3 linked regions of the Neodiprion lecontei genome follow. The protein of the gene in region 2 interacts with the protein of the main gene of each other region in a biochemical or structural test. Links are inferred from orthologs where the notes say so. Each region holds a gene or a part of one and is shown on either strand. Other genes may lie near its edges.

Region 1 (5,329 bases), on a different chromosome or scaffold from region 2:
ACAATTAATTGCATATACATTATAACTCGACAATGATGGTGCCACGTGATTCGAATAACAGGTTTATAGGAGAAGAAGATGTGGCGAATGAGGGTAAAATGCCGGAATTAACTGATGATCCCACGTGGATAATTGATCCGATAGACGGAACGACTAACTTTATTCACAAGTTTCCTCACGTTTGTATCTCCATCGCTTTGGTCATCAATAAAAGAGTTGAAATCGGTATCGTTTACAATCCTGTTATGCAGCAATTCTTCTCTGCGGTGAGGGGAAAAGGAGCTTTCCTAAATGGGAAACCGATCCGAACTTCTGGTGTTCAAGGTAAAAATATTGTGAGGATGAAGTTAGCAACGTTATTGTAGCGATATATGATTCGAAAAATTATTATTTGTCAATTTTAGAATTATCTGAAATTCAGTAGACCATGATAAAATAAAATGTGCCCATGTTTTAAAAACATAACTGCTTTGAAATTATTTAAAAATTGCAAGATAGTGATTTTTTCCAATTATTCATTAGGTTCACGTTACCATCGTTAACCTAGTGAAATATTATCTCACACTAATAAGTAACAATGGCTGATAATTTTAATTGCCAGTGCAAGCCAAGGAGTTGACAAAAAAATAAATATACCACAAAATGTGATACAAGTACCGTCTCTCCTAAATCGAAAGTACAATTAATTGAAATTGAACATTTGTCGAACAAAAATGTCAGAATTGACACAAAATTGGATGTTTCAGACCTTTCGCATGCTCTTGTCGGAATCGAGCCATGGTTAGCCAAAAATGAAGAACATACCTCAAGTTTGTATAGCAGAACACATTTTCTAATTCAGAAGACTCACGGGTTGGTACTAGAAAAAATTCAAGGACTACAAGCTGTATTAATCGAAAGAAACTCTCATAGTTGAACAGTTGCGTGTAAGTATAATTTCGAATGAAACTATCAACAAATTATTTCAGAATTAGATCTCTGGGACTGGCTGCGCTAAGTCTATGCTACGTAGCGATGGGTGCAATCGAAGCATATCACATCGAAGGCATAGACCCATGGGACGTGGCTGCCGGACAATTAATCATCGAAGAGGCTGGAGGGATGGTTGTGGATACTACTGGTAAGATCATATAATTTATGGTGTGTGTAATCGAGGGAAATATTTTTTTTCTTCTCTTCTGTCAACGGAGAATTGATAAGAATGTATACTAATATAAACATTCTAAATATTGAAAACAGAATAATCTATGATGAGGAAGCAGAAAATCAACATTATAGAATTTGACGGATCGTCTACATTCATCTATGTACAGAATTCTTCAAATTAATTTATGGACTTGAAATGGATTCTTTTTTCAGGTGGAGTTTTAGATTTGATGAACCCAAAAGTGATTGCAGCTTGTAACCGTGAAATAGCTGAACAAATTGTCAATCTATTCAAGAAAACAGACAGCATCGGTCAGGAAAAAATATCTGACTTCTTGTTGCAGATAAGTTCAGATCTTTAACAAACTTCCCTTTATATCTTGTACTGTGTAATTCCAAACTTCTGTAACTATTCATCTTAAAACTTCCAATATCAAGTTCAGCACAGCGATTTATGACAATTAGCAGTGTCAAATAAGCAAATAACGGAAAGAAGAGAATAGAAAAATCGTCGTATATATGTCCAAGTTCTTCACTTGTTCTTCATTCTCTTCGTTTAATTGATCTTTTGAATTATAACTACTAAATTTAAACTCTTCACGCAATGAGCATTTCAATTCCCTTGAACCGTCTACAAAATAAATTTGTTCCAAGAAGCATTTCACTAGATTTTCATATCAATACAAGCTAACATATAATTTGATTACTCCACGTTCAACTTATCTTTAAGAACCGAATCCGGCGAGGAGAAATAGCATACAATGATTAACACATCCCATTGTGAATTCTGAAGACTTTAGCTTCATTCGATGATTTGAATTTAAAAACATCTCACCTGAGGTCCCATATTTGGTGGCATTTGCTGCGGGTGTGGAGGATACCCTTGTTGCTGTGGGGGAGGCTGCTGTTGCTGCGGCATTGGTGGACCGCCCTGATATCCTTGAGTTGGACTATGAGGATGATGTTGTGGAGGACCCATTGGACTGCCTTGAGGATTGGACGGGGATGGAGCTTGTTGGGGAGGGCCCATTGGACTTGGTGCTTGTGGGGGTGGCATGGGAGACGATTGGGGCGAGGGGCTCGCCATGCTGTTTCTATCAGACTCCAGCTTATTCAGTACTGGGACTCTGAAAAATAAATCTCATTACCAATGAAACCAAAGTTAGACAAACATTAGGATATAAATTCGAAGTTCCTTTTATGGAAGACTCGGACAGGAATTTAATTTTTAATAAGGTTTGCGTAAGAATGCAGAAAAAATATTTTGGAAACGATAATGTTTTTTTCGGTTGACTCTCTCAGCATCCCTGATTTTTCCAAGTCCATTCCGTTCAACAAAAGTAGAATCATTAACAACTGTAATACTGCTTATATTCCAAAGATTAACAGAATTGCTTTTCAGAAATATTTCCATTAGAATGAACCCGTGGTTTTCAACATGAACGAATCACAAGATGTTTCAGTCACGATTGCATAGCTTCCTAGATCAAAATACATGGGAAAGACACAAAGTTTATTTTATGAAGAATTTATGCTTCGCGTTAGTGCACAAACAACCAAGGTGACGTTGCATCACAGAATAATGGCAACTGATACATCGACTGCATATCTGGGTGTGCGAGGTAAGTTTCTTACAATTGTGATTTTGAGCATAGTGCCTATTTCATTGATGGTTTAAAGTGGTATTTATTTAATTAGTCAAAGATTATCGAAATTTTCTGGCTTAAACTGATAATTCTTTTGTCAGGATTATGATCACGAGTACGAGAACCCGTCAAATGTAACCTCATTTCACATTTACAAGTTAACAACAAAGCTGATGACAAAAAGTCTGCATATTTAATAGCAAAAAAAGAAGACACAAAATGACGTAATTCATAATACCTAAGAAAATTGAGAGAGTTAAAAAAAAAAACTATCAAAAATACGACAGTGGTTCGTAAGGCAGGGTGAGGCGAAAAACTTGGATTGATGGAACACAATTATGTGTGTGTGACACCAAACTCACGGCTTCGTCGTCAAATATTACTCAACACTCTGTGTACGTCTCAGATAATGTACGCTTTACGGAAAACTTGGTACCTCAATTATATTATTCAATGAGTTAGTTTCAAATCGTGACGATTTCAACTAGAATTTCATCGTCAACAAAGTTGAAGCACAAACACACTCGAGCGAATCGGAGTCCCTTTTGGCCATTACGCAAAAACGTAAGACATACATTCATGAATATGTCTGTAAAGACGACTCGTACCTTTTTAACTCTTAGCTCGGGCTTCCGCCGAACATACGACGAATAGTTTCCACTACGTTCATGCAGTAAACTTGTAATATTTCAACCTAAATAGGAGAAAGCAATCTTGACCGCGACTACACGACAAATCCCACCGAATAACACAAGCCGCCGGCCATCTTTCTTTCCCGCATTCTCGCTCGTTCAGACGCTAGTGGCGCTGCTATCGCCAATCGTATGCTGAATGTTTATACATAAAAACAGCGGTGCGAATCCATCTTCAGGCCATCTTTACCATACGAACCCAATCGATGTTTTACCCATTTTATGGCTCAAATCGCTATATATGGGTATAAAAAGCGTTGAGAAATGTCGTTTTTAAAAATGAAAAAAGCAAGAGATAGCGGACATTTGATTCAACTCTGGCTTTAGATTGTCTTTTGTGTTGATCTTGTTTGGTTACTGTTACATATCAGTGAGTTCAGTCAACGCTTACGATAGTCTATGGCTTTAGTCCATGGCTAGAACGCGTTCAACGCCGCGCCTCCGTAGAGCCCGTAGCCACAGAGACGGAGTTTCTATAGTTGGTGGTCAGAGCCGGAAAGGCCTGAGTTATCAAAAATGTCTTCTCTCGCGAAGTTCTGTAAAATTTCGACCCGATTATGGCCACAAAACGGTGTCTACACGTATAATATAGCGAAATACAGTAAGTGTAAACAGAACACCATAAAAATATATTTGTGTGAAATATTTCGTGAGTGCGAATGAAGTTACTGGAGTAAACGCACACCGTAGAGGTTATGTCCATCAATTACATAATTTATTACTTTGCATTACAGATTTTAACGAAAATTAATGTGTAGCTTACTTTTCCTGCTCCTCGATATTACGATACATATCTTTTTTGATATCTTCAACTTTCTCACGGGCAGCTTAACTCCATATGAACAGCTAATACATATTTATGTCATCAAAATGCCAGAATGTATGTTTCAAAACAGATGCAATGAGATTTCATTACTGTACCTGCTTTAAATGGCCTGATAAATAATTTCATTAAATTGTTTCATGCATATTAGGTAATGAACTGAAAGCTAACTGTTACGAATTAACAAAACATTCTTTTAAACGTGTTATGAATATTTGATTTCGTTGGATGACGGTTAGGGTTGGAATGATGCACATTAAGCAATCAATTTTATCTTCTGTACGACGTTTCGGCAGGCCCAGCCGACCATCATCAGGACCTGCCAAAATGTACGGAAAATAAAATTCATTGCTTATTGACCATCATTCCAACCCTGACCGTCGTCCAACGAAATCAAATATTTATAATATCTATACGGTCACAAAGTTCAACTCATTTAAACGTATTATAAATTATGATAAAATCTTTTCTGTTCAGGTATGATCAGGGACTATAAACCAGCCCAATATCCAACAACAGAAGAAGAAAGAGCTAAAGCAGCAGAGAAATATAACCTAATAAAAGAAGATTATAAACCAATTCCAGATGATGGAAATGGTTTAGGAGATTATCCAGAACTTCCTATGGTCTCGGCTGAAGCCAAGGATGATTATTACCCTTGGGATTTCCCAGAACATAAAAGAAATTTCAACGAACCTGTTAGTACAATTCATTTCATTCCGAGTTTTCTTATACTTTCTCAAAACAAACGCATGTTGCCTTATTAGGGTATCAATGCTATTTGAAACACTTGAATTTAAAAGCAAATCTTCAGGATGCAACAGTAAGAGAATCAAACTCCTGATGAATATCAAATTTACTGCATTCATTTTTCATGGCGTGAACAAGTAATTCATAGAATAATTAAGAATTACATGACAATTCCTTTGTGGTCTTTACTACATCAACGAGGCTTTTCATTCTCGTTTTATAAGGAAAGTGAAAGTTGAAAACGTATTCAATTAAGTTCACCTATATTTTAT
Region 2 (8,438 bases):
AAAAAATTATCATTACAATTATAACTCAAGATTTCATTTGTTCTACTTACGTTTGAGCAGGTTGTATGCTTTGTTGATTTCCAACTGTCTCGGGTGGGTTCATTGGCCCTTGATTTAGCAACACTTCTCTATTGTTGCACCAGCGGAGAAGTCAGACGTGCTCACATGACATCACTTTTACGCCATTACCACCATCACTTAACTTATGCTCTAAAGATGCTCAATGTTCAAGAAGCTTTGAGAGATCCTGAAATCATGTGGGATATGTAAGTGGAAAAGGATATTTAAATGTAGTTTGATTTCTAACTCGGGTGGTGCGATGAAATGAAAAGTACCGTTTTCCGTGATTTACAGTGCGATATAAACAGATCACAGTCGTTTGCCAACAGTTCCAGATATTTTTGTAAATGAATATCTATGTATTGGTTGTTGCATGACACCAAAAGCCAAGTAAATATGCATACCTAAAACGTTATAATGTTAAATTACATACATATACAAGTATTAGAAAATATTAATGTTTGTTTCGAAATTGATAATAGTTTAACTGAAGAGCTGCGGAGATGTGGACGCTTTGGGTTGGGCATAGCATTAGATATGCTTCCAATAAGTACCTGTGCCAGCGACGAAGCCCCAGATTTGTACGAGGATGAAGAACAAAGCGAAAAAGTGGAGGGAGCACAAGGGCCTCCACCCGGAGGTGTGGAGTGTGCACGTCTGATGACTGACCTGGTATTGGAGCTAATAGATAACCAGGCTCTATGAATTCGTTAGACCATTATTGTAACACAATTTCTCAATCCAAAGTAGAAAACACAAATAATCCAATCTTAATTAACCTAAAACGTTCTTAAACGTAATATGGTTTTTCAATATATATATGAATAAAATGATGTTAACGTAACCTTGATTACTGGTACCCAATTGTTTTAATTCATTTACGTTTTCCCTATAGCAGTTTTGCGTTATACTATTTTAGTATAGTGACATCGTGTTTAACCTTATTATCTATTTCCTAAATTCGGTAAGATCTTATATTACAAGATGATAACGGTGCACAATAATTGATTTCAAATAATTATATATATATATAATATGTATATGTATGTAATAGTGTATTGTACACGAAGATCATGAGTTGATTATATTATGAATTATTATAATATAGGTACGAAGTCCATGAATGCATTTTAAAATTTGTTCAAACTTTCTCGCAAAATGGTGTAATAATCAAAACAGCGTTTCATGCTCCCTGATTCAATAATTACTCTCAAAGCATTCTGCATAGAACAAATGATTGGTACACACGAAATTAACCATTGTAGCTGGTCCGCAATATACAGCTTAAATATTACTCATTTATTCGGGATGAAATCAAATTCTAACGGTAGTTGTTATTGTATTGGAATAATCGGTTGGCCCGGTATATCGGCATTTTAAAACTATTAGTGGTTGTCTAATAATTTAGGTTACAGCAAAGTTAACTGTACATTGTTGATTAGGCCTCGGCAATATCTTGAGAAGAATAGTTTTTCACATTGCATAATGCAACCACGTTTCTAGCTGGTAATAAATAAGTAAAAAATAAAATATTTCCAATAAAATGGTCTTACTAACCAAGCTAAATAAGTTTTACAGCGATGATCAGGAATTGAAAACGAAGCGAAAGAGAAAAAAGCAAAGGAAATCACATGAAGAAAACGCGTCCAACATGCCCTAGGAATTTTGGATGTATACCGACACACTCCATGAATGGGTTTATCGAATATCAAAGTATAGTAAATTTATCAGTCACTACTCCCGACTTATATGACAACCACTAAAATGCGTGTTTGTTTATTATACTGGTTTGTTTTATAAAAAGTGCTGTGAATTACGCTTGTTGAGGTGGAGTGTGCGGAGGCGGTTGCGCCACCTGTGGCTGCGGACTAGGTGGCTGTTGTTGCTGTTGCTGTTGTTGCTGAGTATTGGATGCTTGCCACGGTGGATGCTGACTCTGCTGTTGTTGCTGCTGTTCCTGGGCTAGCCGTTGGTGTGCTTGCTGTCGAGCACGAAATTCCGCTGCTTTTAATTGTTCCAAGTGAAATTGCTGCCGTTCTGTAATTAGTTGCTGGCGCTGATATTCCAAGCCCTCCCGTTCCCTTTCCATTGTTGTCTCCAGCTCCTCGAAATGCCGCAATTTTATTTCAAGCTTTTTCATCTGCGTTTCAACCAGTAGTGCCACTAAAGACTTGATTTTTCTTTCCTCTACCGCTGCTAAGTGTTTTGCTTTGACAGCTGCAGCTGCTAACGCGGCCGCCGCAGCAGATTGTAGTTGCGCATCTCTAACCACCTGCGTCAGAGTAATAAAGAATAGCTTTAGACATTGTTTACATGACAGAAACTAATATAATCTTAGCCCTTGATAGAATAGAGTATTCAATGCCGTTAATATTACCTTATCTCTCTTTTCTTTAGCTTCAGTTTCTTCAGGATCTCCTTTAGACTTAGCTTCATCGTCATTCTCCTTTGGATCGACCTCTATTTTTTCTGGCTGGTCACGTTCACTCTCCACTGACTCTTCCTTTTTCATAGATTGTGGTGGCACCTGCGTAGCATCCACCCCCTCCTTGACTTTAATATCCTGAAGCTCCTCTTTTTTACTTTCCGCAGTCGAAGCTTGAGGAGAAGTAACACTTGCAGACGAGGAAGTTGCACTAGTAGCTGAGACAGCAGGATCTTCGGGTGGTTCTGGAGGTCCAGTTCCTGCAATACCGGACTGTGCAAGTCCTGCTGATGGATCAAATTTACCTGAATATACAGACGAGTGATTATTGTTAACATAGATAAAAATCATTTTCGTACTCGTTACCAGTCTATTTAATCTGTTTTCCCCAAAACTTACCATCTGGATTAGCACTTGCTTGAACATTACGAAGATGCTGATCCAGTAGGGCTGCAGGCACTTGATCTTTGATTGCTGCAAATTCTTCCATAGCGGCTTTAGCAGCACTAGCAGCCACTCTTGGATCCACAACGGAAGCTAAGAAAGCTACTGTGCTCATGACCGGGTTACCAGCCTTGGAAAATGGAACAGGCTGATAGGCGAGTGGTCCTAGACCCTCAGGGCCTCCTTCTTCGAGGTACGGATCTTCGATAGGTAGACGTAAGAAATGAAGTATGCACTCGTCTTGAGTACGAGATCCAACATGTTCGCAAACTTTGTTCCAATCATCTTTATGGAGCTCTAACCCTTCTAATAACAATAGCGTTTCTTGTTCGGTCCAATCGCGAGTGGCACCAGCAGCTTGTTTGCTTTTTAAAACTGCAGGTTTTCTGGAATACTGATCCACCTTCAGACCAAAGTTAGTCATAACTCCAAGTCCGCTCTTTTCTTCTGGTCCCATGCCAACAACAGCAGGCTTCTTTTCCAAATCCAACAGAGATTTTGCAGCACTGGAAGGCTGCGGAGTTTTGGGAGGATTCGGATTAACAGGTGCCAGTCCAGATGGAGTGTCTGAGAGAACGTGGAAGTGAGATGTAGGTGGCGGACCCATTGGAGTTGGTCTAGATTCTGCGTCAACTTGATAATTAATGAGACCCCACTGCTCTAGAAACGCGTGAACACGCATAATGGCACACACATCTCCTGCTAAATTACGTCTGAAAACAATTATGCCACGTTATATGGATTTTTTAGTACAATGCGAGTGATACGAAGTGATTAGTACTCAAATAACACCCTGGTATACAAGAGCTTCTTCAAACCGAATTTTGAAAGGGAAACAGTTTTGTCCGTACCTGCAGGCAGTAGAGGTGATATATTCGGTTGGATTTAGTCGGTAAGTATCGATCATAAAGTTGCGATAAGCAAGGTAGATTTCGGGCGTTTTCGATTTGTTTTTACCATTAAAAAATTCGGACAACGCACGCTTCTCAATGGTATGGATTGAGTTGTAATCGAACCAAGCTGAGTAGCTGGGTACAACAATATGGTGCGTTTGCTCAGTAACATTATCTTCCGGCTCATCTCCTTTCCCACCCTCTCCTCGTTCCTTGCTAGCTCCGCGTTCCTCTCTTTCCTGAGCCGCTTGTGTACTTCCTTTGTCACCTAAAATCATTGAATCAGTAGCTAAAACATTTGCTTATTGTATATTCATAAACACGTCCAATTTAAGTGTGACTGCGGATTACACACCGTCTATAGGCTCATCCAAATCAGCCATGTTGCCAGATTTTAGAGGTTGTAGTTCACTATCTTGTTTTTTGTTTCCAGTTGTCGACAAACTTCCACTACCAGCTGTAGATCCACCACCAGGCCCAATAGAAGGTGGATTGGCTGGGCTTGCTACCACTTCTATTATCCTTGGTTCAGCTGGAGGATCTTCCATCCCCTGTGTCAGATCTTCTTCTTCGTCGACGCCACCTCGAGACTTTTTTGGAGTAGCCAAAGAAGTAGACGAACCTTGGAGTCCTGCCGGTCCGCGACCACTGTTAAAAAAATACGAATATCTATAAAAGTCTGGTTTCACATGAATGTAACGGAATGAGGATTATAATCTATCGACAATCGTTTATCACTTTTCTTCAACACACCATGTTGATGTAATAGCTGCCATTTTTTTAAATACAAAATGCACACCTTTTACGCTTTCCAATTTTTGGAGGTGGACTGGGGGAGCGTTTTCGTTTCTGTTTTTTTGCAGACGAAGGTGGCGGATGAGACGGTTGAGCCATCAAGTCTTCGACAGAAAGCCGGTACTTGTGAACTCTCTTCTGTCCATTATCATCGACATCGTAGTCTTCTTCGTTCATCCACTCATTGTACTGGTCAAGATCTAGAGCCCAAGTAGCCGACACACGATACTGAGGTCTGTAATCAATAATTTCATCACTTTTCCTTGGTTATACTGAATAAGTAACTTATATCTTATTCATGACATGAAATAACTTTTAATTGATTATTATCATACCTTCCACTTGTACTTCCTATCCCAAGAGGACCTTCAGGGAAATCCCAAGGCAGATCTAATGTTGTCCATGAATCGTAACTGTCGGGAAAGTAGTACCAGTGCAATAGAACAGAGCGTTCACGCCTCAAGTAAGGACGAGCGTATTCCTCCTCAAGGGGATCAGCTGGTGGATAAACAATGTGCGTTGCATCAGCCTCAGCTTCGGCAATTGTTCCCTGATGACGCTTAACAACTTCCTTGACTTTGGACGCTGTATTTTTGTCTACATCTGGTCTAACGTACACACAGGGTACTGTCATGCATCGATTTTGTACCAGTGCCCGTTCCGCTGCCACTAACATCTCTATCGCACGATCCATGCGAGATCCGGACTACAAAGTTAATAGAGAATATTCAGATCAAAGATTTGTCTTACATTTTTCAAGTAGAACATCAAGAAATTTTAACAGAGATGGAAAATATCAAAGAATTTTGTACATATATAAATGCATTACCTTGCCGACTTGAAAGTCGAAACGTCGCCATCCTTGTTCCTGTTTAAATCTGAACGCGGTAGCTAATATATGACAAAGACCACCACCAGGCTTGAAATCTAGGAAACACTTCATCTGGAAAGAGCAATTAATAATGTTTGAGACATGGTGGTGATTCTTAATTTTTAGTATTGAATTTGCACCGATTAAACATCATCGTAGTGAGATAATTGTGTAATCTCGAAATTATGTTTAACTAGGAGACATGCAAGTCCGATATGAAATAATTCAGAATTTCATAAAAACTTAGAAAAAAAAAATAAATATGACTCTGTACACTGAGCCATGTTTGCACGTAAATGCTACTTACAGGAAGTCTTGTCATCGGCGGTTTTGACACATTTTTTCCGAGGTTATCTTCCTGGAATTGTAACAATTGGACGACCAAAGACGCGAGACTTTTATTCGTGGGTGGATCGGTTTGAACATACTGTGAAAAAAGTAATTAAATTCGATTATAGGGAAATACTGGCGATAGAAAATCAGAGCGAACATAACTCGGCGCTTGGGAGACGCCGGCCTCACCTTTTTACAATTTTTTAGAAGCCACTGTTTGACTCCGTCCAATTGGCCCAGTATATCTGGAGACTCGAAGAATTTCGCATTTGGACCGCCGTCCTTCTTTGGCCCCAAAGAGAGCATTTTCCAATTTAATTTCACTCAAAAACCACCGACACTTGAGGAAAACAACGCTTCGCCACCCGCGAACATCACACACACACAACACGAGAGTCCGAAGTTTGCTGCAAGTCCGGTATTGTATCTCCGCGTGGAAACTTGACAACCCTGTTAAGTTAATTCTTGTTCACCATTTACTCTAATTTTTTCTCCAATACTGATGTAAAAAAAAGGACAGTGAAGTATTACAGCTAGTGGATACGATTATCCGTCACAGCCGTTCGATCGCGAGCAAATACACTGAATGTGTATTGTATCCGAACGTCTCACTCTGCGATTTTTCACTACGGCCGCGATATGTTACTCTCGAATAACTGGAACGCTCTCGCCTCCATGGGAAAGCCTGCCCCTTAGTTCACTCTGGATTGCCTGGAATTCAAAATGTCTGCGGGGAACGAAGACGTAGATATAAATGAGGCGTTTGACGATATACTCTTTGGCGAAGAAATAGGCGAAAAAACTGGATTTGCGGAAGGCTACAAAGACGGCAGGACTCAATTGTCAGAGCCTTACCACTTGGGGTACCACAGAGCAAGTCAAGTGGCAGCGCAGCTGGGATTTTACAGCGGGGTTTTGGAGTATAACCTCAAAGCCAATTTGTTTCCTGAAAAAGTTATTGACTTGGCAAACAAATTGCAAGGCGACATAGAAAACTTCCCGAAACACAACTCGGACTCGATCGATATACTTAAACTGCTTGAAGACATTAAGCTAAAGTACAGCCGCATCTGCTCGCTGGCAAAGATCAAATTTACTTATCCCGAGCAAGAGAAACTCGATTTTTAACATGTGTTGCAAGTATCAACATTGGTTTCAGCTTTGAACTTGAAAATGTCTTTGTTTAGTGAGCACTTGGAGAAGGTAGCCACAGTTTTAACTTCGTATCAAGCTTTGATAGATTCTCATCTTGTCGATTTCATAACTGAAAATTTATGGGATCAGTGCTTACCAAAATCACTGCGGAACGAGCTAGAAACACTTAGCTCCAATTCAATCATTAATGCTAATTTTTATGGCCAGGAATCCACTACCCCAGAGCTGTATAAGTTCTGTAAACTTATCAATGCGCTGTCTTTGGACAAATGTAACCTGGTATACGATCTGAGAGACATACCAGACCTCTTCTTGGAATGGGGAATCGATTTAAAGAATTTGGAGTCAAAAATTCACAACAGCAGACTTGATTTTATGAATGCGAAAAAATCCTACGAAGTGGAAATTGTTGCTAGAATCACTTCGTCTTTGGCCGAAATTCATTCTAGCGCTGTTATTGATGCTGGAGCAGGAAAAGGCTATCTCTCTCAACACATTTCGGAGAAATACAAAATTCCCGTCTTAGCCATAGATTCTTCAGACATTGCTCACAGAGGTGCTATCAGAAGACAAAATATATTACAGAAAAAACCCAACCAAAGTTCTCATTTGGTATGATTTTCGGACTTCAGATTCTAACTCGTACTTTAGTTACCGTCTAATGATTAAACTGATTAATGTATTCAGAATATATCGACTGAATGACTTGTCAAATCTTGTGAAACTCTTTTTTCAGGTCCATCATCTGGCACAGCGCATAGATGAATTTACAGAGTTTGCAGAGTTAGCAGAGAAATATTTTCCTACCTGGAGTTTGAGCGAAAATTTAACGCTTACGGGCCTCCATACTTGTGGTTCTTTAGGCCATTCGGTTATAAAAGCATTTTTAAAAACTGACTGTATAAAATCTCTCTGTCTAGTCACGTGTTGTTACCATTTAGCCGAGACCTCACTCGGCGGGAAACTGAACATTTCAAAAAATGCCAAAATGCTAGCTCAGCAGTCGGTTCAGCGTTCGTGCCAAAATGAGTATTCCTTATCACCAACACTTCACTACAGAGCAGTTTTTCAAGTTCTCCTTCATTCACTGGGTTAGAAAAATTATTTCCTAGACACAATTTGCTTTGAAAATTTCTGTACATGTAATTGAAAGAATTTGTTTCAGGCATGCAGGATGTTAAAGTGGGACGCGGTGCACCAGTGGACAATTTCGTTACTTACGCCAAGTGGGCGTTAAATAAAATTGGGCTGGATCCAACACAGGTGAAATTTTTTACCCAGATCACCAGTGGCAATCAAACCTGAAAATTTACCCATCTAGAACACTGAAATTAAATATGCTAAACGGACACTTTTCAGATTCCTCCCGACAATGTCATTGAAGAGCTGTACTCTTCCCACGAAAGTTTCAAGGCGAAAATGGAACTTTTTCAAACCTTGAGAATTCAACTTGGATCTGTTA
Region 3 (7,101 bases), about 25 Mb from region 2:
ACATGTGATGGGTTTATTTCTTCTTCGTTTTTATTATCACACGATTGTTCAAAAATATTATTCTATATCCAAGTAACTCGTTCATTTAGGCAGTTATGGCCGAGGGCAAACAACATGCTTTAGCAGTTGGAATGACATCGTTGTCAACTGATGATATGTAAGTCGAAAGATTGATGAATACAATTTTGGCTACAATTGTATCATAATTGTAACTTACATTTATAAATTTCAGCGCAAAAATAAACAAAGGCGTTGGTGTTGAAAACTGTCATTACCTCAATGATGGACTTTGGCAAATGAAGGCTGTGAAATGAGTTGTTACTTTATTACCTACTGGAATGCCTGTAAAATAAGATTATTCTATTCCCAACTCAACCATGATTGTTCACTTTATTGACCTGAAATGTGGGACAAAAGTAGCAGATTCCTTCTTTATTTCTTTCCCTCGTTTGTGAGAGAAATGTAGCACGTTTCTCCTACATTTGCGGGAATAATGATTAGTTTTGAAATGGGTTTTTCAGTTTTTCTCACTATTTTCAAATTTTAACTATTTCGTACGGTGTTATTGTGAATTTTCAACAATATCCTAGTCTTTAGACTAATAAAATGATCACACTTGCACATAAAAAGTTAAGACTATCAAGTCAATAATGTGATCAGAGTTGAGCCTGGAATAAAGTTTTACATGCAACAGAAATACAAGTCGATTATTCCTTCAGGTGATTACTGCCCTCGTTTCGCTCAGGTAGCAAACCCACCCGCAGGAATAATCTTTGACTTTATTGTTGCATAATATACTATTCTTGTCTCTTTCTACAAGGAAAAAATAATAGAATTATCAAATTATTTCGATTAATCTCCTGTGACTGGTATTGAATATACTACTACGCATTCAGCCGTTTTTTTAACATGTCAATAAACTTGATATCACTGTAGCTGGATACTAAGAATGTATTACATTTATACTCACGAGTTATGCAAATTGATGTGTTGCAACGTTTTCTGTACAGTCGCTTAAATTACTGCATCCGAAATGATAAAATGAATGTCCAGTTTTATAGAGTAAGCTTTATTTCTATTACCATATTGATCAGTTCCAATGATAATCAGCAATTGTTAAGAAATCGTTCTAAACACTCTACGAAAAGATCAGCTAGGTCATACGTGTTTTTAAAAGCATTACCTAGTCTTCCATTATGGTGTGAATGATGATGAAATACTAGATTACTTCAACCTATATTAATCAGTGTGTAGCCAACATTGTATAACCATAAATCAGAATAACCTAGTATAATGACAAAAATGGGACATGAATACTTACAGTTATAGGTTTTTCGAAACTAAACACCACTCCAATACAATTATTAATAAAAAGGTTGTTTTGTTTGAAAATAGCTTACAAACTAAATTCAACACTTCGTGGATTTATCCTGATCCAGATGTATCCATTTTTTGATTGTCCGCCTGGTTTTCGGGAGGTCGATCTCTGTCGCCGTGAATAGGTGTCGAAGCATACGAAGCTCCTGAATCAGAGCCAACATTAGAACCTGAATTTCCATCTCCCACATTGTGCGGTGATTGAGGATGATAATGAGGACTATGAGGGCTGTGTGGGCCGTGAGAGTGCGGTCTACCCATAGAATGGGGAGCATACTGGGAATAAGATTGATAATAGGGATGAGCATATTGAGGATAAGGTTGATGATACGGCTGCTGTTGAGAATACGCATAAGAAGGATGTGGCGGTCTTGGAGCCAACGGAACATTTTGCGCTTGTTGACCTCCGGCCGGTTGATACTGCTGATTGTAACTCTGACCGGTGGGTATCATTGAGTTCACGTGAGGGTTTGGTGGCATTGCATTTTGGGAAGGCATTGTTTGGGGCGGCATGTTTTGATTGTGCGGAGGTGTCGCTTGAGAGGGTAGAGTGTGATTCTGATGGGGAGGAATCGAATGATTGGGAAGAACGTTTTGTTGATGGGGGGTATGCGATGGAGGAGGTTGAGGTTGCTGTTGCTGTTGCTGTTGCTGTTGCTGTTGCTGAGGTTGAGTTTGAGGTTGCGGCTGAGGTGGTGGTGGTGGTAGTTGCTGCTGCTGCTGCTGTTGTTGCTGCTGCTGTTGCTGCTGCTGTTGTTGCTGTTGCTGCTGCTGCTGTTGTTGTTGTTGTTGGTGATGTTGCTGTTGTAGTAGCAGTGGTGGAGGCTGTGCTGGTACAAGTACAGGAGCAATGGCTGGTGGAGTAGAAGGCTGGGGTGGGGGTACGCTTGTAGCGGTAGTAACGGTTGTTTGCTGGATGGGGCTCACTGCTCCCGGATATGTCACAGGTGAAGACCTCTGCGGAGAGTGATTATTTGTTTGCATTGTTGTTTCAGTTTTTACTTCTGTGTATGGCGGTGAAAGTGTCTCCTTTTTCGTTTCGATAGGCTGATCCACATCCATTTTCTTTTCTGATGGTTCGCTGTCTGTAATCTATAGAAATATACACACGTCAATTGATTATAAGCTTCGAATGTGAGAATGTCTTTGTTCTCCGTTCATCTAATAATCTGCTCTTACTCAGAATCCATTTTTACATAGTATATTTATAACAAATTATTAATACCTCAGGTTGTGATTCTTCGCTAACTGGGGCCGGAGTTGGAGTTGGAGTGGAATTCGGTGTTGATTCGCTTGAAGCCGGGCCATCAGATCGATTTTCTTCGGTACCTTTTTGTCTGTCTCTTCGTAATAACTCGTATTGACGCTCAACCATTTTATTGAATGCATCTTCGTCTACTGCAGGCTTACAATGCTGATGGGATAAAACGTATATCAGCAACAATTTATTATTATGCTAAAATTGTAAACTACAAGTTTTTACTTACTTTCTTTAATTCATCTTGAAACACTTCGCTAGCTTCAACGAATTTACGTTTTTTTGCGTCAAACTTTTCTTCAATCTGCTGCAGCTCAGCTTCTAATTTTTTCTGCAGAAGTATTTTATTATATTTATAAGTTAAAGCAATTCTTGCTTTACAATAGAAGACATATTTATTTTACTAACAACGTGTGGTTTAGACTACCTGATGCATTGTGAGTGACTGTACTTGGCGTCGAAGAACTTGCATTCTTTGAGTAGTAACTACAGAACGCACATCTGGTACAACGGTGTCGCTAAAGATCTCATTTATCAGTCTGTGATTGCGGGCGAATCGAGAATATGCAACGTGTTTGACTGAATATCCATCGTCTTGATCTAGGGATAAATAGAAATAGAACATAACTCGGTGCTCAACGACGTTTGCTAAGTTTGTACAGATCCAGTCAACTTTATACGATTAGTCTTTCAAAACCTAACACAGATTAGGAAATCCCAATTGCGCTTACCTCTTATTTCGGGATAGCAAATTATGAACTTCTTAGGCCAAAACTTACAGTTTAACAAAAGAAGAAATGGATAGTTAATGGATAAATTGTATACCATCATCATCTTCCGCCGGTTGAATGTCTATCCGTCGGTCTTGGGCTGCCTGACTTTTACTGCTTCCAGAGGAACGCTCATGAGTTTCTCGATCATCGCTATTTTGCTGAGCTGCACATAACACTGCATTAGACACAAGTTTGTAAACATCCTACACTCAGTGTTTGGATATGCACAAGCTGACAAAACACATCTAAATATACCAGATCATTTTCTTATCTGACACAGAAAAGTGCAGTTAGAGCTATATATGTCTTGTTATACAATAATGCAACGAATATCAGATAGAGTAAAAAATTAGCTGAAACCTACCAGATTTTCCCCTATTCTTTGCAGCGATATACGCAAGGTATGCAGGCGAATTATGGTAAGTTTTTAAGCTCTTCTCATATTCGACCTGAAACCAAACATTACTAGTTGTTTAGAATTTTCAAAGAGAGAAACATTTGAAAACTTCAGATGTAGCTGTAGTGGGTAGCAATGAGGAAGAAGGGTTTTCGATATTTGAAATTCAGTATACTCACCTTTTCTGCTTCATATTCTTCGATGAATTCAGTTTTCTCATCTTCCGGTAGGTCTCTCCACATCTGCCCGATGATTTTTCCTATTTCCCATAGTTTTAACTCGGGATTTTGAGCTTTCACTTGGTCCCAGACTTTTCTGCTGTATCTCATGTATGGCATCAATGGTTTCTCTGGAGGCTTGGGTGGTTTTGGCAACCTAGAATCCGCCTGAAACATATAGCATAATTGTGGATCCTGTAAGCAGCCAACGGCAGAACAACATTTTATGTAAATAAACGCATGTCTACCGGTGTGCTTTTTCCAACTTTCTGTGGGGTAAATCCAGGATGTCCATGAGGTGTTTGAATGAAAGGGGTCTGCGCATCTTTCTGCAAATAATGTCATGATTAAATTTCTGGATCAGAGATGTTTGACTGATGCGTATGAGAAAGATTGCTTGATAACATACCCCTGTACTAGAACTACCACTGGCACCGGAAGCCCGTAATCGTTCTGTTAAAAATATCCAACAGTTATAATTTCAGCATTCAATTTTGTCTATGCGCATGATGTTCACTTTAGGTTTATTATACATACGATTGCTAGAAACAACATTTGACGACGCCATCGCCACTTGTTTGTAATTCTGCGGTAACGCCATCCTTTACCTGTACATTTGAAAATTAATGAATGAATCGTTGAAAGACGGTATTCTTGAAAACAATTAACTTGGGTTTGTCGAAAAATTAATTTTTTCACAATCTACTGCAATCAAAGATTTGTGATAATATATGAAATCGTGGGAAAATATCAGAAGCTCCAGTTTCTGAGTAAATATCATTTCCGCCGCTTGCAAAATAGTTAACAGAAGGTTACAACTCCGTTCGAATTGTCTGTAAATTAATCCAATCGAGTTCCTGGAAATCCGACTTTGGGAAATGAACATTATGTATGAAAACTGTGCTAAGCTGTTGCTGGCAATGAGCTAAATTCCGTACACGTAAGCCTCTGCTGTCCAATTCGAAGGAAAGGAAAAATCGAATAAAGCATTACGAATAAATGAAAGTACTTACTTTGTAAGTAAGAAACCACCGTCAATCGTTTCAGGAGTAAAACCTCATACTGAATCAAAGTTAGAGAGTAACGAAAATTTACAATTCACGGTACAAAACGCCGAAGCGTCGGGCGAGGTTTCAGAATTTCATAGATTGCTCGTACATGCCCACATTAAAAAAGCATAGTTGTCAGCACGCATCTCGTAGATGGCGTCTAGCTTTTGAACTTACAAAAATCATCAAGAGATGGCGGATCACGCTTACAACATGATCGGTGTGACGTTGGCAACGGACCGGAGTCTCATCTGCTTTTAATGCCGATCGGGTCTACTTTTAGGACTTTAGTCGACAATACTCATGTAAGTATTTGTTTTTATTGATTATCTTTGTTATATATTAACATAAAACCTGAGTTAATATAATTGAACTTTGGTGAATAGCGTTATTCGAGTTTTAGGTCAACGGTTTTTTGTCCAAGTCCGCGACGTTAGAATAAACAATTGATAGACGATCGGGAAGCCATGTTGTTGATCAGTTCCAAGTCCGAATTCTTTCTCGCGCTGTAAAGAATAAAGTTTTGACGGTAAGTTTGTTAGTTTTGAATTAAAAATATTAACAAATTTGTGATACATTTGTGATACTGTCCGCAGTGGTATTTACGTAGTGTATTATCCAAACGGTATAAAAAATAAACGAGTCTATTCCGCCCTCAAAATGAAAAAAAATTTCCAGTTTGATTTTCGTTTCGTGTATCTGCAAACGTAGAGTTCAGATGTTTACAGGTGAAAAGTGATCGTTTATAGTTAGGATATCCTCGGACTCGAGTGCGCGTAGTGAAAACGAATTGTTCAATTCTCCCGAAGAAAAGATGAACGTACATCGAACTGTTCTTTCTTCATTACATGGACATCCAGGTATAATATGAACATTTGCACATACATATATACTTCTGTTCGAAAATATGATATACTGCATTTGTCATCTGTGTACACGTATGAACGTAATTTATTTGCTATCTTCTCATTCAAGCTTGAGCTTCACGTGCGCAAGCTTTGCCATACACCTAATTATTATTTATTCATATCATTGTTGGTATGCATATGCTCCAAGTTGGTAAGCAACGTAAAGAGATATGATTTCTCAATTCAGCAACGTTGTAATAATTTTTCCGGATTTAAATTACACGCTGGAAACGGTGTCGTCGGGTTATTTTACTCGCATGCGGAACGCAAATCCGAAGATTGGTAACGTGTTACGGAACACGTGCCAGATTGGGTTTTAGTGTCAACAAGCCGCAATATTTGAAATCAGATCGGCTTGAAAACATGTGATTGCTGTGTTTACTGTGGGATCAAAATTGCGAAGATTAATAATAATTTGATTGTCTTCATTGAAACTTACTTCCACGATAGTAACCAGACCACTGCAGGCAAGTATTACTTTCAGGTGTTTATTTATTATCATCATCATCATTATCAGTTATAATCGCGAATGCTATTTTTAACACTCGTTGACTTTCATTTAGAGGTTATGATGCCGCATCCGAGAAATAGTTTTTCCTGGGATGACTGAGAATATTAACTTTTTATTCGCCCATTTTTTTACTGAATATATTTCGATCCTAGCTACTCATATTCTCGCACTAGTCACTCCATTGAGGTTATGCTGGTCCTACAAGAATCACTAAAAAATACATAAGATATTGGCAGGTTTCATTATTTTGAGCCTCCCTCGGTGACGGGTACAAACGGCATTATTTTTTGGGTCCCTGAAAAACATGGTATCATTTGCAACCGTGTAATTCAGAATATTAACTCATTTCATCCCCTTCTCGAAGGTTCTCACATGACTAACGTGTGATCCAGAGGAAAAAATGTGGCGCGACATAGAAGAATGTTACCATTATTGTGGATGATTGAAAGCTATTGCGGTATTGAAAATTCAGGGATAATGAATATTGGTCGGCAGTGTACTGTACCTAAGTATGGTATATTCCACGCAGCATTTGACATGTTTCGCGCTAATAGCAATGTTCTTTTGTGACGCTTTATATTCTCGATCAGCGGAGGTTTTTTGTTGTGCG

What was found.
Region 1: the proteins of SWI/SNF complex subunit SMARCC2 (region 2) and ATP-dependent helicase brm form a complex in vitro, tested with the Drosophila melanogaster proteins (2 studies listed by BioGRID, with this or other methods). The link is inferred for Neodiprion lecontei from reciprocal best matches to the Drosophila melanogaster genes mor and brm.
Region 3: the proteins of SWI/SNF complex subunit SMARCC2 (region 2) and bromodomain-containing protein 4 form a complex in vitro, tested with the Drosophila melanogaster proteins (2 studies listed by BioGRID, with this or other methods). The link is inferred for Neodiprion lecontei from reciprocal best matches to the Drosophila melanogaster genes mor and Bap111.

Annotation. Positions count from the first base shown.
Region 1 is NC_060262.1:27,356,674-27,362,002, forward strand, and holds the start of ATP-dependent helicase brm, read right to left. Parts: upstream 3,549-5,329; 5' UTR 3,401-3,548; intron 2,274-3,400; 5' UTR 2,234-2,273; coding exon 1,982-2,233; exon of another isoform or gene 1,509-1,981; coding exon of another isoform or gene 1,360-1,508; intron 1,121-1,359; coding exon of another isoform or gene 969-1,120; intron 853-968; coding exon of another isoform or gene 747-852; intron 325-746; coding exon of another isoform or gene 62-324; intron 1-61. Other genes in the region: inositol monophosphatase 1, read left to right, coding at 62-324, 747-852, 969-1,120, 1,360-1,508; NADH dehydrogenase [ubiquinone] 1 beta subcomplex subunit 8, mitochondrial, read left to right, coding at 4,001-4,085, 4,785-5,005. UniProt on the Drosophila melanogaster protein: Transcriptional regulator. Acts as a coactivator, assisting one or more dedicated transcriptional activators of ANTC and BXC homeotic gene clusters. Can counteract the repressive effect of Polycomb protein.
Region 2 is NC_060265.1:28,053,997-28,062,434, reverse strand, and holds SWI/SNF complex subunit SMARCC2, read right to left. Parts: upstream 6,146-8,438; 5' UTR 6,128-6,145; coding exon 6,011-6,127; intron 5,916-6,010; coding exon 5,796-5,915; intron 5,561-5,795; coding exon 5,447-5,560; intron 5,324-5,446; coding exon 4,953-5,323; intron 4,874-4,952; coding exon 4,622-4,873; intron 4,471-4,621; coding exon 4,178-4,470; intron 4,091-4,177; coding exon 3,781-4,090; intron 3,643-3,780; coding exon 2,885-3,642; intron 2,791-2,884; coding exon 2,438-2,790; intron 2,333-2,437; coding exon 1,874-2,332; 3' UTR 911-1,873; downstream 1-910. Other genes in the region: uncharacterized protein LOC107227200, read left to right, coding at 61-266, 543-765; uncharacterized protein LOC107227210, read left to right, coding at 6,545-6,949; probable methyltransferase-like protein 25, read left to right, coding at 6,995-7,588, 7,713-8,067, 8,142-8,239, 8,336-8,438.
Region 3 is NC_060265.1:2,666,842-2,673,942, reverse strand, and holds bromodomain-containing protein 4, read right to left. Parts: upstream 5,177-7,101; 5' UTR 5,037-5,176; exon of another isoform or gene 5,032-5,036; intron 4,673-5,031; exon of another isoform or gene 4,632-4,672; 5' UTR 4,625-4,631; coding exon 4,561-4,624; intron 4,477-4,560; coding exon 4,433-4,476; intron 4,353-4,432; coding exon 4,272-4,352; intron 4,192-4,271; coding exon 3,985-4,191; intron 3,858-3,984; coding exon 3,773-3,857; intron 3,584-3,772; coding exon 3,461-3,583; intron 3,236-3,460; coding exon 3,063-3,235; intron 2,967-3,062; coding exon 2,865-2,966; intron 2,792-2,864; coding exon 2,603-2,791; intron 2,470-2,602; coding exon 1,426-2,469; 3' UTR 1,049-1,425; downstream 1-1,048. Other genes in the region: malignant T-cell-amplified sequence 1 homolog, read left to right, coding at 90-157, 233-314.